Linked DNA regions of Stegostoma tigrinum. The protein of the gene in region 2 interacts with the protein of the main gene of each other region in a pairwise test. Links are inferred from orthologs where the notes say so. Each region holds a gene or a part of one and is shown on either strand. Other genes may lie near its edges.

The links.
Region 1: the proteins of cyth1b (region 2) and cytohesin-interacting protein-like interact in binary tests that used the Homo sapiens proteins (3 or more experiments, as listed by UniProt). The link is inferred for Stegostoma tigrinum from reciprocal best matches to the Homo sapiens genes CYTH1 and CYTIP.

The regions. Positions count from the first base shown.
Region 1 is NC_081360.1:57,648,580-57,655,989, reverse strand, and holds the start of cytohesin-interacting protein-like, read left to right. Parts: upstream 1-3,497; 5' UTR 3,498-3,582; coding exon 3,583-3,765; intron 3,766-4,199; coding exon 4,200-4,249; intron 4,250-4,495; coding exon 4,496-4,550; intron 4,551-4,659; coding exon 4,660-4,762; intron 4,763-4,886; coding exon 4,887-4,980; intron 4,981-7,311; coding exon 7,312-7,378; intron 7,379-7,410. UniProt on the Homo sapiens protein: By its binding to cytohesin-1 (CYTH1), it modifies activation of ARFs by CYTH1 and its precise function may be to sequester CYTH1 in the cytoplasm.
Region 2 is NC_081375.1:16,532,203-16,539,612, reverse strand, and holds the start of cyth1b (cytohesin-1b), read left to right. Parts: upstream 1-3,182; 5' UTR 3,183-3,736; coding exon 3,737-3,803; intron 3,804-7,410. UniProt on the Homo sapiens protein: Promotes guanine-nucleotide exchange on ARF1, ARF5 and ARF6. Promotes the activation of ARF factors through replacement of GDP with GTP.

The DNA of each region.
Region 1 (7,410 bases), on a different chromosome or scaffold from region 2:
CTCCACAATTCAGCGATGTAATCTTTTCTATCTCGTGATTTCTTTCCTCCCCCATATTCTGACTACTGCTTGAAGGCCTGTACACGACACCCATCAAGGTCTCATTTCCTTTGCAGCTCATCAACTCTATCCACACAGATTTTACACCTTCAGGTTCTGTATCGCTTCTTGCAATCAACTGAGGGAGGTGGTGTGGGGGCACCTCCCTCACCCCCATCCTCACCCCCATCCCAGGCCCCAAGATGACTTTCCACATCAAGCAGATGTTCACCTGCACATCTGCCAATGTGGTATACTGCATCTACTGTACACAGTGTGGCCTCCTCTACATTGGAGAAACCAAGCGGAGGCTTGGGGAACACTTTGCAGAACACCTCCGCTCGGTTCGCAGTAAACAACTGCACCTCCCAGTCGCAAACCATTTCAACTCCCCCTCCCATTCCTTAGACGATATCTCCATCCTGGTCCTCCTGCAGCACCATAATGATGTCACCCGTAGGTTGCAGGAACAGCAACTCATATTCCGCTTGGGAACCCTGCAGCCCAATGGTATCAATGTGGACTTCACGAGCTTCAAAATATTCCCTCCCCCCACTGCATCCCAAAACAAGCCCAGCTCGTCCCCGCCTGCTTAACCTGTTCTTACTCTCACCTATCCCCTCCTCCAACCTCACGCTGTACCTCCATTTCCTACCTACTAACCTCATCCCGCCCCTTTGACCTGTCCGTCCTCCCCAGACTGACCTATCCCCTCCCTACCTCCCCATCCATACACTCCTCTCCACCCGTCTTCTCCTTTATCCATCTTCAGGCCACCTCCACCTCTCTCCCTATTTATTTCAGAATCCTCTCCACATCCCTCTTTTCTGATGAAGGATCTAGGCCCAAAACATCAGCTTTGGTGCTCCTAAGATGCTGCTTGGCCTGCTGTGTTCATCCGGCCCCACACTTTGTTATCTTGGATTGTCCAGCATCTGCAGTTCCCATTATCTCAATCTGCGCTACAAGCTCATTTACCTTGTTTCATATACTGCATGCATTAAGTACAACACCTTCAGTCCTGCGTTGACTGCCAGATTGTCATAGCTGTCCCTTTATCTGCTGTGCCTGAAGTTACATTCTTGCTCTTTTTTTCTTTTCTTTCTCTTGCTTGTTGTGGAAACTGTAATACGCTCTGTGGAGACATTCCCCCACCCCAACTTAATTTTTTTCCATAACTTTCCATGTAACTGACAGCTCACCCCCACCCCAGGATGATTTGCCAGGAACTCTGATCCCAGCATGATTCAGGTGGAGCCTGTCCCATCGGAATAGCTCCCTCTCTCCCCAACACTGGTACCATTGTCCCATGAATTTAAAACCGTTTCTCGCACGCCAATCTTTGAGCCTCATGTTTACCTCTAACTTTTTTCGCCCTGTGTCTGTTTCCTCATCGCTCAGAAGTAATCCAAAGAGTATTATCTTTTTGGTTCTGCTTTCTAATTTAGCCACCAGCTGCTTATATTCAATCAGGAGAACCTCTTTCCTCTTTCAACCTATATCATTGGCACCCATGTGGACCATGATAACCGGATGTTAACCCTCCCACTCGAAATTTGTTTGTTGCCCAGATGAGAGAACCCAAGCACCAGGCAGGCATCACAACCTTCGGGGCTCTCAATCCTGGCCACAGAGGACACTGTCTATTCCCCTGACTCTATACTGTCTCCAAATACAAGTAAATTTTTCATTTCTGTGCCCCTCTAGAATGGTACAACATCAGGGAGGGGGAGCATTACCTGGATGCGCTGTTTCAGGAGATAGTCACACCCCTAAGATTAACTACCTCAAATCTGGTCAGTGGTCAGGGATGGGAGATTGTGACTATGAGCGAGGAAGGTACAGAGATTCTGTACCATGGTGCTAAGGTCAGTTTGTTCATCCTGTCTACAGTCTCTGCTCTCATCCACACAAGAAGCAAGAATCTCAAACCAGTTAGACAAGCTCAAGGGCTGAGTCCCCTTTAGCACTACCTCCTGGATCTCTCTTCTTCTTCGCTCATAGTCACACTCTCACATCTCTCTGATGACTGACCAGATTTGAGGTAGTTAATCTTAGGGGTGTGACTATCTTCTGAAGCAGTGCATCCAGGTAACGCTCCCCCTCCCTGATGTTGTTTCAGTGTTCAAAGCTCAAACTCCAGCTCATCAGCTCTGAGCCAATACTTGCGCAGATGTGGTCAGTACGAACCATAATGGAGTCCACCAGCTCCCAGTTCATACATTTCGCCTGGCCTGGTATCTCTATTTTAATTACTTAATTCTTCATTTGATTTAAAAAAAAGTACTGGCCTTTTAGTTTGTAACCTGTACATATTTCAGCGGTTTACCTTAGATTTGAAGCTAATTTGAAATAGTCAAATTAGTAGCTTTCACCAACCAACGAACTTATGGTTTACGTGTGACATCACTCTCTTGTGCATGGTGCCTGATCCTGGACTTCAATTTATCCTGTTTAAAAAAAAACCTTACAAAGCACGAGCCAAAAGAAAGCAAGCAAAAAGCTTGCCTTTCCCTCTGCATCGATTTTCCAAGCTGCTGCCAGAGACTCAGACTATATCCTCACTTTGGCTATCTCTCACTGTGAATGTGATCCCTCTTTCTGACCTTGTGAAGCTGATGACTTGGTGAGGCTATTGCCTATCCAATTCCAACCTCCATGGATGAAGGATGCAGGTGGTTGCTGCCCATGGAGTGTGCCCTGAGATGTTGAGGACTGTGGGACAGGATGGACGCTAGAAGGGCATGCAACATGGCAACAGCAGCCAACTACCAGCTCAGACTTTCCTGCCTGGAGTTATTACTTCCTAGTTTCAGTCCACTATCTGGAAAAGTAGCAATCTGGAAAACAACAGTGATAAGAATTGGTAAAAATGAGATGCTAAAGCATGCAGAGATAATGGGAACTGCAGATCCTGGAGAATCCAAGATAACAAAGTGTGGGGCTGGATGAACACAGCAGGCCAAGCAGTATCTTTGGAGCAAATTGGCCTCTTGCCACTCTGTGGAGATTCTTGCCTGCCGTCACAGTGGAAAATGAATAAAAGACTTAATTTTTTTAGATCCAGAATTTCATACTTCTGCTCTCACCATATTTTACTAACTGACTGGCATTGGCCTCCTCTGCCCTGGGTGTTAAACTGAACTGTGGACTTTTTAAAAACAGGGTCAAAATCGAACTGCTTTTCAATTGAATGGATCTAAACTATGAAGAAAACATAGATGAGACCATTAAATGAGCAATTCCAGTGTTTTCTGGCCAGCCTTTTTAAAATTTTAATTTATTACTTTGTCTTGGAAACTGCAACCCAAGGTCGGATTGTAAAAAGTTAGGCGAGGCAAGGCTTGGTCCCCAACCCTTCCTCCAGCAACTTGCGAAAACGTAGCCGATTGATGTAAAATGCCAAGTGCCCACAAAACCAAATCACATGACCTGAATTTCCGTCTGTGCAACTTCTGTGAACGCTTTGAGTTAAGCTCGATCTAGCTTTGCTGGACTTCGTGCAGGTTATTTTACAACGATGAGACTGGCTGATTCGCAATCATGACTTTCCAAAGTGTCCTTCAAATTAACGTCAACGCGAATTACATGGCAGCGGATTCTTCATCAGCCAGCTGCGGCTCTTATTCCGAGATCTCCAACCGGAGCTTCTCTGCCGAAAATGACAACAAGCGGCTTCAGATACTCGCCAACTCGCTGGGAACATTGCCCCGGGGACACAGACAGGTAAAGCAGACATCCCAGACACAACTATTGCCCAGCTCTAACAAGTACATAGATAACATTGTAGCGGATGCTATAATGATTCTCCATAAACTAGTAGAATAAAGATACTTTGCTCCTAATATTTTCCTGTTCAGATTGTAATTTTTGTTCAATAAATGTGAACTAAAACAAAATAAGTAAAAATTGCAAAGCAATTTATTAAATTGGTCAGTGTTTTGAGTACAGATTATGTTAAATTTGCTTTTACTTTATTAAGCAGTTAGCAAGACTTGGTGAAACATGTAACTGATTTAGAGAAATAGTACAGGGCACAAAAATGGAGAGGGTTTTAGTCAGACTAGTGTTGATCAGAGGTAGGTTAATGGATGTGGTTGGGTCTCCAAACAGAAATTCTTGATGACAACATTAATTTTGATTCTTTCTTTCCTTTGCAGCTTTCATTGACTAGATCAAACTCTTTGGCTGACACTTCAGATTTTCGAAAGTAAGATATACTTTTGTACTGTTGATTTTAAATATCAGAAGATAATGTGTTCCCTGGCATCTAACTCTGTTGTGATGTCAGAAGAAGGTTGGTGTGATCCTGATGTTGTTACAGTCAAAATGCAGAATGCTGCATGTACCATTTATTTTACAAGTGACAGAATGCTTATAAGTTTCCAGGAGTTAGATTTTTTCTAATGCTTACTCCATTCTATAAAAAAAATTACTTTTTTTGTTTTCCAAACAGAAAAATGGTTGTTTTAAATAAGCAAGATAATGAAACTTTTGGATTTGAGATTCAGGTGAGAAAATTATATATGTACAGTATTTTCAAGATAGAACTCAATGCTAATTTTACAATTAGTTTCAGAAATAAATAGCAGGTCTTTTTGTTTTTTTTTCCACTTGTAGACCGTTGGAATGGATCAGCAAAATGCCAATACATTACAGAGGTGCACGTTTGTCTGCAAGGTGCATGACAACAGTCCTTCTCATTTCGCAGGGCTGAAGGCTGGTAACTATCCACTTCCTCTTTTGGCCCGCTTGGCTCTGATGTTCTCACAATGTGCAGTAATTACATATAGTTCATTACATAGCTTCCTTATCTGTCTATCACTCATTATTTTTCTATATAACAGGTGATATGCTAGTTAACATCAATGGAGTGGATACTGAAGGGTTTAGTCACCAAGAAATTGTCGATCTAATTAAGTCATCTGGTAATTTATTAAGGTTAGTATCCCAGAGCAATCCTCTGTTTCTGTAGCTGGTAACAGTTTCAATTTTGCCAATATTGCACTAAAGCAAACATTGTAACAGTGCTTTTTCTGGAGACCAGGAAGTTACAGAGCATGTAGGGGATATGAAGTGGTGTAACTGATTACAGAAAGCTTTTTTTGGCTACTCTCAGGGACAACACCACAAGTGTTTTAAGTCACTGAGTGCAAGGAAAACTTGCTGCCACCTCTCATTTTAAAGGGAAGATTCACAGATTAGCAATAGTCATTTCTGTTCTGTGTATTTAAATTGGAAAAATCTTCAGTGGTGTATTTGCTGAAGTGGGATTTTCATTCTTGGTGTTGATTTTATTTCTTCCACAAACATGTAATAATACCAGTTTATGGTGTTTGAAAATGGGATCACTGCTGTTGCATTACCATTCTTAAACATATTTGGGTTCAAAACATATCTGATGAAATAAAAGCAACTGTATGACCTCAATTGGTGTCGCTTTTGTACAATTTGCTCTGTTCTTCCAAAAACTTTGCAATACTGATACCTTGGCAAAACAAAACTGAGCATTTAACAATATGAAGGGCATAAAGTTGTGATCCTTGTCAAATACAAAGTTAACACGCCAGAGAAAGCTAGTGATTGTCCATTCAAATTTAACTGATATATTTTTCTAGCAGTATGATGTCTAAATTACTTTCCAACAACCTCTCTGGCCCTGAAATTTCACCAGTCCCATTTCAATTAAACTTCTCTGTCTCTTTGACTCTGACCCATTATGTACTTCCTCACCCCTTGCCCAAGCACTGCCAGCCTTCAGTTGGCTAAGCCAAATTCTTCCAACTGAGGTAGGAAGCAGGAGCCTATTACTGTGTCGGAAACCTGCTTCCTGGTGGAGTGAGTTCTTAAGTAATTGAAGGATTTCATGTCAGATTGAAGCTGATGGTCTCAGGAATGGAGGCAGGTGAAATGGAGTGGGGGACACATTCAGGCAGCTACAGCAGCCATCACTGAAGCTGCTAGTTATCTTTGCAGCTCATCTTCAGTGACCTCAGTTTTTTGAGGGTGCAGAATCCACTTCCATCTGCATCTTTCTGTAGCTTACCTGGAGTTCAGACAACTACGCCCACTGTTCCCTAAACTGGAAAAGTTCTTAATTTTGACTCCTCCCCTGACCTGTGATGGACTGCTGTAACTTTAACTTCAAAAGGACAAGTCGTTAAACCTCTGCTGAGCACTTCCTTTTTGAAACCCTATCGGTCTCAATGACTTGCCCTGACATGAACCCTGCTTGCCTTCATTTGAACTGGACGTTTCAGGAGATGGATTTTTAACCAGCCTTAGGAGATGAACTGGCTTAGGAGTGCTGATGAGTTGGAGGCCAGCTTTTCCACTGCCCATATGAAGATCATTAACATCAGGAACAGATATGTTCCTGGAACGATAAAAGGCAGATGACAGCATTGGAAAAATTTCCTCAGTTCTTCATATCACTCTCCTTCTTGAAGACAATTGTCAAAACTCACCTCGTCGACCAAAGTTTTGTTCAACTCTTTGCTTTTTCTCTTGATAATAGCATTGAAAGAAAATAAATTTAAATGTCCTTTGCTTATATGTCATTACTAAATAAATTTTAAAATATCACTCTTCCATCATTTTTTAAACCCTAATGCAGTGTCATTTGGAATATCCTCCTGCTTTGCTCTGTCTGAAATAATGTTTTTTGAATTAGACTGATGTTTGTTAGTTAGTCTGCAAAGGCAGTTAACCGCACATGTTGTGGTGTGAGATAGAGAATTCTAGGATTTTTATGCACTCACAATGAATGACATCATTATCCCAATGTAAGAATGACTTACTTGGAAGGGAACTTCAGGGTGATAATCTGCATATAATATTTCTGCACTTGTTTGGCTTGGAGGCTGAGATGTGTTTGAAGTGAACTTGTTGCAATGCTGAGATAACAAGATGTAGAGCTGGATGAACACAGCAGGCTAAGCAGCATCAGAGGAGCAGAAAAGCTGACATTTCGGGCCTTGATCCTTCTTCAGAAATGGAAGAGTCTGAAGAAGGGTCTAGGCCCGAAACATCAGCCTTCCTGCTCCTCTGATGCTGCTTTGCCTGCTGTGTTCATCCAGCTCTACACCTTGTTATCACAGATTCTCCAGCATCTGCAGTTCCTACTATCTCTGTTGCATAGCTGCAGTGCATCCTGTAGAAAACTACATATTTCAGCCACCAACTGACAGTTATGGGGGAACGGATATCTTTTTAGTGCAAGCCTGCGTCAGGCAATGTTTTCTGTACTTGAACTTTACCTCTACTTTACAGCGTGTTAACTGTTCATAAGGACTCTATCAGAAGAGATCAACTTGAAACAAGATTGCATTTTTTAAAGGTATTCTTTCCAATCTGTTTTTTGAATGTCAG
Region 2 (7,410 bases):
GCTTAAAGTAAGGGTGATCTTGGCCAGGTTGAGGAGGATGGTGTTGGTGGATTGGGATCGTTCAGACTTTTGTTTTTTCAGGAAGTAGTGGAAAACCCTGAGACCACCTGATCAGGGATGGATGTGTAAAGGGATTGCACGTCCATGGTAAAGAAGAGGTGGCTTAAGTCCACAAAGTGGAGATTCTGAAACAGATGGAAAGGGAAGGGACTGGACAAGAGGTGAAACAATTCTGTCGATGTAGGAAGAGATGAGTTGTGTGGGGCAAGAGCAGGGATAAACGATGGGTCTGCCAGGCGGTCCTGTTGGTGGATTTTGGGAAAGAGGTAGAAGTTTGCAGGACTATGAGCTCAGAGATAGTGGTGGGGAGATAGCCAGATGACATGAAATTAGTGACTGTTGGCGACACGGTGGCCTGGTGTTTTGTGGTGGAGTCATGGTCCTATGTGAAGTACGAAGAGGTGTCCAAGGGCTGGTGCTCAGAAGCCATAATGAAGAGGCCAGTATGCCAGTGCCAGCAATTGCACCACCCTTCTTGACAGGCTTGATTACAAAGTCAGGGTTGGATCTGAGAGGACGGAGTGCAGTCAGTTCACAGTTTTTGGGAGGCAGAGATATTAAGGCAACCAGTGTGACTTTGAGTGGCGGTAAATACCACAGGTTTGGGTCCAAATGGAGGAAGAGTGTTGGTGATGGGTGAAGGGGTTTGTGGAACTAGGAGAGGACTTTCATCCAAAGAAAGAGGAACGGAGGTGAAAATGATGGAAGAGGAGTTCAACATCATGTCATGCCCAAAATTCATTTGGTTGGGGGATGAAGCAGAGACATTAAAACTGAGATTTTTGCTGAGTACAGAACACTCAGCATCAGGAAACTTAAGGTCAGACAAATAGTAAACACACAACAGGAGGTGGGATTAGGGGGTTCGGATGGTAGGGGCGAGAGGAACTTTCCAGAGGGACGTGTTGCTTCTTGTGTTCAGTAGTGCCTGAAAGGAAAAGAAAAAATTCTTGTTAGTGTTGGATGAGGCGGAGGATGAAATGGAACTGGGGTCACGGCAGCTCTGAGCCAGCATGAGATGGTGCTGTTGGAGAGAGAGATTAAGAATGTGTGTATGGCACCACCTAGCACTGAATAGCATAGTACTGTGTCCTAGCTACAATCTGTTCTGAAGAACAGTCACTGGACCTGAAACATTGACTTTTTCTCTACAGATACTCCCAGGCCTGCTGAGTTTCTTTCTAGCAATTTCTGTTTGTGTTTCTGATTTCCAACATCTGCAGTTCTTTGCTTTATTTTCTTACAAACTTCTGAGGTTTTGATTATATTTCTCCATATTTTATCATTGCTGTTAGATCACCAAACTGGACTCTGATTTGAAACGTATGTTTACATACCCTATAGCTGTTTTTGATCAATGGGACTACACAGAAGTTTTTATATACAATCGCTGACATCTGCTGAATGAGCTTCTCCTGCTCCTATGCTGTTCTGTATAGGTCCCAATTACTGTGATATAAAAGTGCTATTTTTATCAACTGCAAAGATGCTGCACGTTGATCAACAACTCCATTGTTAATAATTTGTGTAGTCTTAAAATTAGAAAACATCACCAATATTAATTTGCTGCTTTGTTAGCCCTATTACATATACTCTTCTTACTCTATTATGATGTACACGTGTATTAGTTCTTATAACATAACTACAATATTCTTGGACCATTGCAGCCATAGATAATTAACTCCTAATCATGATCCTGACTTGGAAATGTATCACTTTTCCTTCAGTGTTGCTGGTCAAAATCCTGGAATTCCCTCACGAACTGCATTGTGGGTCTACCTAGAGCACATGAACTGCAGTGGTTCAGCTCACCACCACCTTCTCAAGGGCAACCAAGGATGTGCAATACATGCTGGCTCAACAAAAGAATTGAAAGAAAAACTTCATCAACGTTGCTCGTAAATCAACAGAACATTTTTATAAAAAAAAATGTGAAGCTGATATAACTTCAGTTTCAATACGGTTCCTCATGGTAAATGGTCCTTCGCCGATCAATTGGCAGATAATTGGAATTTGCCATATTGTGAATCGGAGGGATGGAGTTGCATCCTTATACCCTACTACAACTTGATATGTCGTTTTAGTACACGAGGATGCTGTCCGCTATAGTTGTCTGAAAGCATTGTCTGCCCTATAAATAAGCTTGCCATATATGGAGCGCTGCACAGTCACTGGATGTTATCTGCTTTCTTAGATACATAAGTTATTTTTTTACTCCCCACTTGCTGACAGCTCCTGTTATTTTAGCTTTTCATTTCTACATGAGGACTATATAGTCTTTTCCTTTAAAGGAATAGATCTAAGATTGAAAGTATCTTGGAAAAAGAAAATGTGTTGACATTTCTGAAGTCTTCCAACAATACATCATTTGAATGAATTTGGATCCGGTATCAAACTTGATAGCAGTCAAATAGCTTTACTCCTCCTCATATTGCACCAGTGACTGTGGCATAAGAGAGCAGAACTTCAGTTTTGATCAGCATTTTGACTGAAAATCAAAACTGAGATTATAAACCTGTAAGAGATTGTTGGAAAAGAAACTTCATGACATTTGTTAAATTGTACCTGCATCCTAGTGAGATTACAAAGAAATGTGTGCCAAAAAAATGACAAATTGAACACATTGCTGCAGTGCTTTTCTGATGTTTAAAAAAACAACTGTAACAGTATCAGATGAATATTTAAAAAGAGAAGTTGCTTTCTAAAACATATCTGGGTACTAGTGAAATAAATTTATATCGTGTTAAGCTCTACATTTATCTTCTCACCTTTGACCAGAAATATATAAATTACTGAAAAACATGTTGCATGCCCAAAGGGCATATTTTTAGAACTAATTATGATTAGTCAATCATTTAAAACATTGCCAAAAAAAATCCCTGAATGTACTATTTTGTAGTATTGTGTACTGTAGCCAGCTTTGGCAAAATCACATGTTAAAAAACAAACAAATTGGATAATACTGCTCCTTTTATCATAGAAGCTGGAATCTTTGAACCTTGTTTAGAAGAATCTCTTTTCATTCTTTTGAAGAATTGCAATTACTTTTCAAGTTTTTTTAGTAATAGTGCAAGTCTTAATTTCTAACACTTTTTAAAAAAAAAACCTTTTACACAATACTGAGTACATTTTTAGTGCGTTCATTTTATGTAATGGAGAGTAAGTTGCTAAGCAACAATGAAAAAGGTTTTGTAGGTGAACATGGAATCTTTGTTATAAATTAAAAGCCCCTAGAAAACTTAATAACATTCACCTTGACAAGGGCTGGTAGGAGCTAAGGTTGGAGATGCAAGTAATTCACAATTATTTGACTTTATTACTTAAATAGACGTTAGATTGTGTTGTCATCTATGTGCACCTGATTGGCTGAATGAATACTGAGGCAGGTTGTCAGGCAGTGACGTTGAAACACTTTGGCAATTTGGAAATATTTAAGCCTTTCCTGGATGTGTGGCCAGTGAAATTCGATTACTGACAGTCTGCTGCAGTGGTGCACCAAGGGACTACATATATAGAGAAAAACCAGATGACAGTATTTCCCCATTTGGGAGAGGACTTCAAAACTGACTACCAGAGAGATTACATTATCCCGTGAAGCCTGTGTGGCGAAAAGCCCATATCCACTGAGATAAATACATTTGACGGCTTTTGGATTATAAAAAAATTGAACCGAGTGATGGGAACTGTTAGTGAGCTCTGTGCATCCAGCTTCCAGGCTTTCCTCTGTGTAAATGCAAAACCAGGTATGGTTGAATGAGATTTAAAGCTGAAAGATAGTCTTTGACTAGTACTGTAAGAGACACCACTTTAGGTGGTGGGTTTCCAAATTTAACAAACTGATCAGATGCAATGGCTATAAAAGTGAAACACTTTGATCCATTACCCATTTTTCAGCATGTTTGTTTTGTTTTGAGTTAAATATATTTCCTGTTAATACAATGCTTTAGCAATACTGACTGTGTACAATCTGAATATCCATAGCAATGAAGAAAACAGACTGGAATTGATATGTTTGCCAGTATTGTATGGTCATTATTATGGCAATATTGCCATTATTATACTTTTATGAATGTTTAAAATTGCTTCAAAAGAGACAAGAGTCAAAAAATTAATAAAACTCTATTTACTCCTGAAATTCTGCAACTATTTTTCAAAAACTTTCATCTTTTCTGATGAACTTGAAATTTAATTCCAGTTGTGGCTCGATTAGCATCAGGTTTTGTGTAGATGACTGCATTTTTGAGCAGTGAAACATCTGGAAACCTGCTAGAGGTGGAAGCACTTGTTGTTTTTCTGTGAAACTTCCTTCTTGTATTAGGTCACTAACTAACTGGTATTTTTCCCACTTGAACTGCACTAGAATTGAGAGATCTGGAAGATTTTGAAATTAATATCACCACTATCTACATATTTATTGTATTGTGCAGAAAAATGCTGAGATGTTGATTAGTGTTAATGAAATCAGTAATTTGTTAATTTGAATTTGATAATTTATTACTGAGTGTTACACTATGTAGTAGGTATTTGAGCATTGGTTATTAAAACAGGTTTTGTAGTAAATATTCTGTCTAGTAATCACTGAAATATGTATAATCTCATGTGCAAACCTTTGTCCATGTCCAATTTATTTCAATTGTATTGACATGTAGCCGATATGACAGTTTTTAACGCAGTTGACTGTCTCTTGAAGAATGATTGTTCGTGTTAACAGGATTCCATAGAAGTAGGGAATAATTACAGCACAAGGGAACCATTTGGCCCTTTGCGTCCATGCTAGCATACTACAAGAACAACTTAGCTAGTTCTAATCTCTCATCCTTTTCCTGTAGTTCTACAATTTATTTTTCCCTTCCGATAGTTATCTAATTCCCCTTTTAAATCTGCTATTGAAACTGCTTCCAGCTGCACTAGGATAGATTTTTAGGTCTGTCGGTAAGGAAGAGTGTTTGGGAATAAATAGATACGCTTTCAGAAGAACCAGTGCAGAAGAGATCGATCAGGTGGCCTCCTGTGCTGTATGTTTAAGAAATAAATTTCCTCTATTCAATTTGTGCCTTTAAATCCTGAAATAGTTGAGAGAGCATTTAACTTACGATGATTTCAAAATGTGTACATAGTAATACCATAGTTTCCATTAAGTTTGAAAAAGATGCCCCTTGTCAAATTTATATATAATATTTATCAGAAGGATCATACAGGAAGTTCTAATATTTCAGCATAATCATTGATTAAAACATAACGTGGCAACAGACAGCTTCATAATCTGTCAGCATGTTTTGTAGTCTTGATCTTTCCGACAGTGATGTTCTGTCATTTAGTGGATTGTCATCCAAAATAAGCAATCAAATGCAAATATTAATTTGGGGAAAATAGAACCTGTAGGAGAGTATAGCCTTCTGCCCATCAATCCAAATGCTACGTGTAAGGAGGCTTTTCTGCTAGTCGTCTGTAGTGTATGTTAGCATTAAGAATGGAATAGACATCCATCAGCTGACTAAAGCAAGAAATGCTGACAGCAGAATGCTTGGTTTGAAGTTTCTGTTCCTAAAAGTAACTTGCATATTCAGACATTTCAGCCACTAAAATGGCTGTGCAGCTTTTGTGCAGTGTTGTTTGTGATTAAATACTTTTTTGAGCCTTCAGAGGAGTCAACCACAAGTTATCTTTTTGTATTTCTTTCAATCTTGATTTAAAGCACAAAATAGGCTTGAAATGTTACAAATACAGTCCTGAATACTCTTTTCATTTTAAGTGTATCTTACAGTATTTCTTGAGACCTGCATACTACTTTACGTAATCAGTGCAAATCCCATTCAAGATTGTGCTGAGTTGGCAAAATGATCATCTGTTGTGAAGTTCGTATCGCTAACGCCGTGAGACTCCATTTTGAACATTTGAGTATTTGGCTGGAGTTTGAAATACTGGATTCAGAATGGCCTTTTTTACTATAATCTCTTGTTTCTTGTTTTTTGGCAGTCTGTGTAAATTATGGCTTGACCTCCTACTGTCATTATTACTCAAGAACATAATTTTCAGGATTTCTTCCTGAGAGAGTATAATTAACTCTTGGCAATAACAGTAGCTATTCATTAAGTTTGAGTCTTGCAACTTGTAATATACCCCACTCCTCAGCAACCCATTGACTTGAAAAGCTTAATCTTGTTTTTTTTAAAATGCCTATCGAGAGGTTTTCAAAACTGGCGTCGAAGTACTAACCACCTCATCAACTTTCCTCCTCAATGGGAGGAGAATTTCAGGACAGAGGTATTTGTGGTTGCTGACTGACCAAGCAATGTTCAGGACCTCATTCTCACTCTTCAATGATGCTTGTTGTATAAGGCCAAAAATTACGCAACACCAGGTTATAGTGCAACAGGTCTATTTGAAAACACCAGCTTTTGTAATCTCATTCCTTCTTCAGGTGTCAGGGAGAGAGGTGTCATTCAACACAGAACGTACAGGCAAAAGATCAAAGGATCATAGAACTGATCCGAATACATTGTACAAACCTGAGATGGCTGTGAAATCTTAAATCAGTTAGAAGGGATTAATGTGCAAATCCCAGAATATTTTTCAAATAAAACCAGTCTGAATCCAAGTAAATACACAGCCAAATTCTAAACAAGTTCTGCCACCTAAAATGCATTGTCTGACCTGAGGTGTCACCTTTGGTATACTGATAACACGTTTAGTTATCTTGGGGCAGTGACTTGAAAAAATTTCTGGGATTTGCGTATTAATCCTTTCTAACTGATTAACGATTTAACAGCCATCTTAGGTTTGTTCAATGCATTTGCAGCAGTTCTATGACCCTTTGATATTTTGCGTATAAATTCTGTGTCTGATGCCACCTCTCACTGACACCTGAGGAAGGAGCAAGACTCCGAAAACATGTGTCTTCAAATGAACCTGTTGGACTATCTGGTCGCTTGTGATTTTGACCTCATCCAGCTCAGTCCAACACTGGCCTTTCCACATCATGGCTTTTTGTATAGTGTGTTGTTCACTTCTGGATGCTTTTGTTTCTTGTCATGTCTGGTGCATTCCTTATGGATCTCTGTGTTCCATTCCCATGGTTTATTTACTGCTGGGTCTGGCTTTGGCAACTGCAATTTTTCAAGTTTCCATTTCCATTTCCATGTCAATAATTTTTGCTCCATGTGGCCACATAACACAATTCTTCTTTAATGCTCCCAATACCCATCCAATTCCAGCCTCAACCCACTTCCTGACCTTCGTGGACAGTAGCCCAATCCAAAATGTCAACTGTCAAAATCCGTAGTGATTGCTTCCAATCCTCTTGCCTCTGCCTTCTCGCCGTGTAAGTGATTTTATATCATTCCTCTGTTC